2 linked regions of the Cricetulus griseus genome follow. The protein of the gene in region 2 purifies or fractionates together with the protein of the main gene of each other region. This does not show direct contact. Links are inferred from orthologs where the notes say so. Each region holds a gene or a part of one and is shown on either strand. Other genes may lie near its edges. The genes, in order: Tada2b and Taf5l.

Evidence for each region.
Region 1: the proteins of Taf5l (region 2) and Tada2b purify together in Homo sapiens (affinity purification with mass spectrometry; 3 studies listed by BioGRID and IntAct, counting the BioPlex papers as one, with this or other methods). This does not show direct contact. The link is inferred for Cricetulus griseus from reciprocal best matches to the Homo sapiens genes TAF5L and TADA2B.

Annotation. Positions count from the first base shown.
Region 1 is NW_023276807.1:105,486,994-105,491,306, forward strand, and holds the start of Tada2b (transcriptional adapter 2-beta), read right to left. Parts: upstream 3,002-4,313; 5' UTR 2,918-3,001; coding exon 2,648-2,917; intron 1-2,647. Other genes in the region: Ccdc96 (coiled-coil domain-containing protein 96), read left to right, coding at 3,514-4,313. UniProt on the Homo sapiens protein: Coactivates PAX5-dependent transcription together with either SMARCA4 or GCN5L2.
Region 2 is NC_048596.1:200,688,428-200,692,235, forward strand, and holds part of Taf5l (TAF5-like RNA polymerase II p300/CBP-associated factor-associated factor 65 kDa subunit 5L), read right to left. Parts: intron 1,846-3,808; coding exon 1,741-1,845; intron 1-1,740. UniProt on the Homo sapiens protein: Functions as a component of the PCAF complex. The PCAF complex is capable of efficiently acetylating histones in a nucleosomal context. The PCAF complex could be considered as the human version of the yeast SAGA complex.

The sequences.
Region 1 (4,313 bases), on a different chromosome or scaffold from region 2:
TCAGCTGCAAACTAAGAACATTAAATTCACCCCCACAGTGATGCTTGTGCAAGTCAGATGACTTGCATACATAAAGGATACAGTATAGAGCTAGTACAGGCTCTACACAGGTCCAAACTGGGACATACTCTGTGTAATAGCATGCAAGCTCAGAACAGAACCACATATCTAAGCTGTGGTGCCTCTGAAGGAATAAAGCAACCGGTCTAGGAGAGCACAGATAGCAGAGTCACAGAGCCTCCTCTTTCTGTGTGAGGATCAGTGGTTGCATCTCTCAGACCGGCCCTGAGACTCTTGCTGCTTCAGCAGGTAGCAGTCCATGAACTACACACAGGCAGCCAAGTCCCAAGACTCTTCCTCTTGAGCTTTACTTCTTCCAAAGCTGAGCCTGGACCTCATGAGAACCTGCATCTTGACTCAAGTTCCTCTGGCCTTAAAGCCTGAAAGTGCTGCTTCAGAAGAGGCCTTCCCATCCAGCCTGTTTATTCATCCACATTTTACATGCTTCCATGCCTGGGTGCTATGTGCTTCTGACTGTGCTACACCAATGCAGCACAAACACTAGTTGAGGTGCGGACTCTACAGCCCAAGATTTCCTTTCTTTTCTTTAGCAAAATAAAATATAATAAGATAGAATAAAAACCATCACATCGAAGTTGGACAAGTCAAACCAATGAAGAAAAAGAGCCCCAAGAGAAGTGACAAGAATCAGCGACCCACTCGTTCACATACTCAGGAGACCCATAAAAATACTAAACTGAAAGCTATAATATAAATGCAGAGATGTGGTACAGACCCATGTTGGCCCTGTGCTTGCTGCTTCAGTCTGTGAGTTCACATGAGCTGTGCTCACTTGATTACAAGGGCCTTGTCTCTTTGTGTCCTCTTCCCCCCTCTGGCTCTTACACTCTTTCTGCCTCTTCTTCCACTTGGTATAGCCAGCCCAGTTTCAGGAGATAAAACAAGGTCAGCAGTGGGCTCCCCAAAACTAACACTCTCACTCTTTTCAGTGGCTACTCTAGAGATAGTGCTGGAGGAATGATGTGAGGAAGAAACGTCTCTCTGAAGCAATGACACATAAGGACAAAGATCAGTCAGTAGTCTTGACTAGGGTGAAAGCACTGTAGGCAGAAGAAAGGAAAACTCATCAAGAGAGTAAGCATGAGATCACAGGGAACCATAGATGTTGTCAGGCCTTGCAGGCATTGTAATGTAATCTAAGTAGAACTGGAAGTTGCTGAGAGCCAAAGAGATACAGCTTATGTTTCAAAAGACCTGTGTTGGTGTGTGAGAAGAGCTATAGAACACAAGGAGAAAGCAGGTAAACCATGAGATGTTAAAACAGTAAGAGGTAAATGTCAGCGTGGTTCAGACCAGAATTAGCAGCTACATTCGGCACATTTTTAAAAATAGATGACAGCTAAACAACTAGATGTAGATGAAGGTTTTAAGTTGACTCTGTAGCTGAGCACAAAGTGAGGCTGGGTCACCATGGGCAATGATATAGAGAGGAATGGATGTCATCAGGTAGAGACAAGCTAGAGGAACAGAACAAACGAATGCAACATTTTCAGTTCTGAGGCTCTTCTTCAGGGTGTTTCATGCTGCCTGATCTATACAAATCAAATGCTCAATATACACCAACAACACCACTTATAGGCAAAGCAACCAGATGTTTTTGGAGAGCAGGAGTCAAGGTGTTGGCCATCAGGAAAGTATCTGTAAAGTAGAATCTTTCCTAGGTGGGGGAGGTGGGTCCAAAAGGTCACTCACTGCATATGATGACCTGGAATAGTAAGGCAGTATGGCTGGAGTAGGGAAGCTTAGAGAAGCAGTACCCAACCATACCGGGAAAGAGTCTGGACAGAACAGGGTCATACTTAGCTCCCTTTTCTTTGAAAGCCTGAAGATACTATATGTGCCTGGCGGTAATGGTGACAAAGACAGAGTTCTTCCCTAATAAAGGTGAGGAATAGAAGGAAAGCTCCTTAGAGATCCCTAGAGAACAACCAGGAGACCAGCACACTATCTGGCTGGCACACCAAAGCTCCTGCCACCAGCAAGACACATCTACTGAAACCTGACAGCTAGAAAGCAGACTCCTGGTTACATGCCTCCTCACTGAGAGGCCTTTGTTCATTCTTTACTGGCCACCTCTCACACTATGTCCTGGGTGCTGTAGAGAGCAAGAATTAAACAAGGCACTGCTACCCACGGAGAACCCTAGCTCAGGTCACATGCTGACACCCACAGAAAGCACTCGAAGCCCTGAATGCAGACTAAGTGCATGCGGGATGGGCAGCCCAGGCTTCTAGCCTTCCTCATCACTGTGCCCAGGAGAACCCAACCCTACCAGGGAACTCAGAAGGGACAGCAGGGTCTCGATTGCTGCCATCTGGCTCGAGTAGAAGCTTGGCAAGGTACAGGGCCTGCCCTCCGCCTGCGTTCAATGCACACATTCTGAGGACGAGTGTGAAGGGCAGACAGCTCGGTGTAGGGGCCACGGGTCAAGGCTCTGCTCTACCAGCTGTGTAGCCATGGGCGCCCAGCATTCTCTGGGCGATCCCGTCCGGCCACCTGCGGCCCGCCGCAGCGTGCACCAAACCAGCCAGCCATGCCTTCCTTCTAGTCAGGGCCCGCCGCTCACCCAGTTGCCGAAGCCGAACTGCTCGATGGCGTCCAACAGCAGCTGCTCCTCGCGGCTGGTCCAGCCGCCCTCCGCCTCAGGCCCCCAGAGAGTGAATCGTCCACCGTCCACCAGCTGGTAACCGTGGTAGCGGCGGTGGTGGCCGATCTCCGCGCCAGCCGAGAAGCACTCGGGGCACAGCTCGATGTCCTGGCACTCGGTGCAGCGGAAGCGCAGCGGGCTCACCTCGGCCAGGCAGTACACGCAGTACTTCTTACCCAGCTCCGCCATCTTCCCCCGCTCGCCCGCCGCCCGGCCCGCAGTCGCCGCGCCTCCGGCCGTCAGCGCCCCGCCGCCTGTCGAGCCCACTGCGCCCACCGCGCCCGCGCTGCTGCCGGCCGCTGCCACGGCCGTCCCCGCCCAGGCGCCGCCGGAGCCCGCCAGGCGGGCCGCGTCCCGCCTCAGCACGCAGGCGCCCTCCGGCCCGGCCCGGCAGCCGCCGCCGTCGCCGCCGTCTCCCCGCCGCATCGCGCAGGCGCCCCGCGCGCGCCCTCTTGCGGGCAGCCGAGCCTCCGATCTGCGCCTGCGCGCCGCTGCCTCCCTCCGCCTCATGGACTCACGAAGCCGTAAGGCCCCGCCCCAAACCTGACAGCCGGCAAGGCGCAGACCGGAAGCCGGTCTGCTGCGCCACACCTCTCAAGAGACAGTGTCCAATCAGCGCTTACATTCACCTGTTCGTTGTCCTTCATTGGCTTAATATTGCTGGGAGGCGGAGAGAAAAGGAAGGCGGACGACCAATCGCGGGGCCCACCGCGCGCGCCCTGGTTGCCCCGGGAAACCTAACAGCAGGCGGCCGCGGTCCTCAGACCTGAGACTGCGGGTCGAGCATGGACAGCCACGACGGGGATACCGAGGGCGAAGGAGGAACTGAGGAAGCCCCGACCAGGCAGTCGTCCGAGACCAAGGTCAGCTCCGAACCTGAACCTCAGACCCCGGCCGACCCTGCGGAGCCGGAGCCAGAGCCCGGGCCGGAGCCGGAGCCGGAGCCGGAGCCGGAGCCGGAGCCGGAGCCGGAGCCGGAGCCAGAGCCAGAGTCTGAGGCGGAGACCCAACCTGTTGCGGACGACACTGAAGCAGAGGTTTTGGAGGGGAGTGATGACGCTCATGTCGAGGAAAGTCTGGAGGCCGCTACGGCTGCGAGCGAGACAGCAGAGGCTGCGAGCGAGGCCGTGTCCCGAGAGCCAGAAAGTCTGTCAGAGCCGCATCCCGAGACCGAGCGGGAGTTCCAGGAGGGGGACGAAGACGAAGACGAGGATGAAGACGAGGACGAGGACGAGGATGAGGAACCCGCCGGGCGGGAGAAGCAGGACAAGGTGAAGAAGGTGAAGAGCAAGGAGTCACGGTTCCGGCCCTCCCTGCCACTGACCACGATCGTCGAGGAGGCGGCTGCTCCAGCCCCACAGGCTGAGAAAGAGAAAGCAAAGGAGTCAGAGCAGAAGCGAGGTAGCGAGGAGATCCGGGCGACAGGTCGAGAACAACACAAGAAAAGCAAAGAGGATGAGGACATGGAAGAGGAAGACAATGAGGACTTCGAAGACTTTGAGTGGTCTGCAGATGTTCGGAAGCTGCAAGAGGAGCAGCTGCGCGGTGAGCTAGTGAACCAGTACCACACCCTGCTGTTGGAGCG
Region 2 (3,808 bases):
CATATGCATATTTACCATTATATTAACACAAGGACTATTCACTTGAGGGAAAATTATTTAAAATTTTGAGGCTTTTATTTATATTTGTGTGTGTGAACCCATGCATGCAAGCTACATCAAAGTGGGTGCCCATGAAGCCAGAGGAAAGTTGAATCCCTTGGAACTGGGCTACAGGCAGCTATGAGCTGCTGAAGTGGGTATTGGGAATCAAACTCGGTTCCTATGTTAGAATAGTAAAGGCCTTTTAAAAAATTATTTATTAATTTATTATATATACAGTTATCTGCATGCATGCTTGCACACCAGAAGAGGGCACCAGATCTCATTACAGATGGTTGTGAGCCACCATGTGGTTGCTGGGAATTGAACTTGGGTCTTCTGGAAGAGTTGTCAGTGCCCTTAACCTCTGAGCCACCTCTCCAGCCCTAGTAAAGGCTTTTAACTGCTTGCTGAACCAGTCATTTCTCCAGCACCCATAGTATTTTAGTTCTCTTCTGATACTATAGTGGCTCTCAGGGATTGAGCTCAGGGTGTTAGGTTTCCCGGCAATCACCTTTATATAATGAGCCATCTCTCTCTAGCCTTTTTTTGGTTTGTTTTTAACATAGGGTCTCCTGTAGCCTTGGCTAGCCTCAAATTTGCTATGAGGATGTTCTCGAACTGTCCCTGATGTCCCTTCTTCTCATGTATTAAGGTGCCACTATTCTTGGATAAGTTCAAATTATTTATATACTTTTTGAGACAGGGCTTCACTAATATATAACCCTGGCTGGCTTGGAACTCATCATGTAAACCAGGCTGGCCTCAAACTCACAGAAATCCATGTCTTTTCCTTCTGAATGCTGGAATTAGATGTGTGTGACACTAAACCAGTATCCACTAATTATTCTCAGTCCTTCCAGGGCAGAGTATGCTTTTTTATTTCTTATAAAAGGTGATTACAGAAGGAATTCAACAAGATTAGTACTCAGAATCAACATGGTTCTCTTATTGCAACTCCTCAATTTTAAGTTAATACTGGCCATCTCAGGACCAGAAAACATGGTTTAAGATCTGCCTGCCTCTGTCTCTCTAGTACTGGGATTAGAGGTGTACGCTACCACCATGGACTAAATGGCTCCTCTTAAGCAACTGTTTATTTTTTGTTTGTTTTGTTTTTTAAAAACTCACATTAATGCATCAAGAAGAAGCAAATGGAACACAAATCCACTGATTTTGTGTCTCTGTGGTCATTTCATCTATGACCTGCCTAACTGATAATGGCTAAGTTCTTCATCCAAATCATGAGCACTACTCTGAAAGATGGTCTACATTTCAAATTCACTTCACTTAAAGGATGCTTTCTCTATGGATGATTTGTCCTTCATTTATTCAGAAGTCAAAAGCCAAAAGCTGCAGGCAAACAGTGAATAGGACACACAGAGTTCTCTCTCTATCCTTGCAAACTTCAACATCAAGATCTAACTTTCACAGAAATTCTGTTTGTACACAAGAACTGTGGCACAGGCCTTTAATCACAGCACTCAGGAAGCAGAGAAAGGTGGATCTTTGAGTTTGAGGCTAGCTTTGTCTACAGAACAAGTTTAAGGACAACCAGGACTACACAGAAACACTTGTCTTGAAAAAACAAACAGCCACCAAACAAAAAAGAACCAGACTCCCTAGAACCTAACACTATGCTTGTAATACAAGAGGTTCTGAGGGATATCTACATTATTTGGTTTCTTAACAAGGACTTACCAGTAAGAAAGCTTCTCAGTCGTCCAAACTGTACTTCATATTGCTGAGGTTCTGCCTGGCAAGGGGCTGCAGACACTGCATTGGCACAACCAGATTCTGATTGGACTAAAGGAGGAGACACACAAGACAGAGGCAAGAATGTAGTTACTATGCACTATGCAGCAGGATAAACAGAGGGCATAGAGTCCAATGGCATCTCTAAGTAAGACTTTCTAGGGCTCTGGGAGACTGGGGCAGGCTGATAATATTTGTTTGTCTCTCTTCTCCCCTGACACTCCATAAAACGAGGGCAGACGAATGAAAAGCTAGAGAGCATCAGATAAATTAAGCTAAGAGAGGATAGGCACATAATAGCCCTGAAATTCATCTGAAACATCTAGTCTACGCTGATGTGTTACAATGTGCTAGGTCTGTCAATTTGAGGTATTATGCCTCCCAGTTCAGAGCAACAGTCTTCATTTGTTTCTGATCCTGCCTTCTAATTTTCCAAGATTCCTGATTTAAAAGTTGGAAGTTCTAAAAATCATTTACATCTTTTCTCTACACTTCATCCTTTTGCTTTACTAATAGGGAGGTTTCCTTAACTTTTAATCCCCCCCCCCAAGACTGCAGGCTGGCATCAAACTCAGAGATCTGCTTGCCTCTGCCCCTCCCCTGGATTTAAAGGTGTATACCACCACACCTAGCCTAATCTTCAACCTTTTTGTTGATTTTCCTTTTTATATTTTTCCAAAGAAGGAAAGAGTTAATTTGGCTCACATTCCTTTTTATCATCACCTACCTGGCAAAATGTTCTCTTTCCCTAGGCAGCATTATCTTCTTGTCGCAATACTATGATATGCACAGTGGTCAGAGAAACATTTCCCCCAAGGCAGTGAAACAGGACACCTTAGGGATAATGGGAATGTGCCTGATCACTTAGGAGGGCATGAACAGAGTTTCACAAAGAATGTCTTTGGTCTGTAATCCTGGGCAGGTCATAATCCAGCAAACTTGTTCACTAGCCTTCTTGGGGAATAAGGTTGGCTGCAGTGTTCTGGGCAGCTAACATGAAGAAGCCTGGGGTCTCAATATTTAGCATGCGAACATGCACTTTTTGACTTTATATTTTCTTTTTTCTGACAGGGTCTCATTATGCAGCCCCCAGCTAACCTGGGAATCTCAATCTTTCTGCCCCTTGTGCTGGAATTACAGGAGTATGCCATCATACTTGGCCTGAATTATGCTTCCTAAAAAAGAAACTCAAGCTTTCTGAACCATCCAGTGAAGAGTCTACACCATATTGTTCTTGATTCCTATTTTAACTTTAAGGCAAACTTTCACAAAATGTTCAGAGCCCTTGACGCTCTGCAAATGGAGAAATGGAAAGGTTGCCCTCAAATTCCTTGCAGCCAGCACCCACTTAGGTGGTACCAACCTTGACTTCCAGATGGAAGCTAGGGGCCAAGGGTTAAGATGTCATCTTTACAGTGACCTGAAGAAAATGCCACATTTAGCCACTAGAAGGTAGATGGAGGGATGGTAATGAATACAGTAGAACTGAAGGAATCAAAACATAGTGTACAAAGAAGGGGGGGAGGTAAAGAAGAGTTCCTGTCTTCCAGCAAAATCAAGATAGCTAGAACATCAGTCAAAGTCCTTCAGATTTCAGGTTACCCTCAGACTATGCTGGTTCTTGGCTGGTGTATCTAATTGTAACTTGGACCCTTTAATGATACTTAGCACCCAGTCACTGTCTTGAAATCTATCTCCAGATCTCAAATGTCCTCCTTTAACCTGACAGGAGTGCTCCTTATAATTACTCTTAAAACAGCTAATTCCTTCTGCTACTGGCCACCATGACCATAATCTGGAGAGTACCAGGCCTTTGAAAGACTCTCTTGCCCTGCTAACCTAGTGCAAAGGACCATTTTCTCTACTCGCTGACCCTGTACTGCAGCATGTATTTCTAGCAGCAATTTAAGTTTTTTTTTTTTAAGATTTATTTATTATGTATACAGTGTTCTGTCATGTAGACAGTTGTGAGCCACCATGTAGTTGCTGGGAACTGAATTCAGGACCTCTGGAA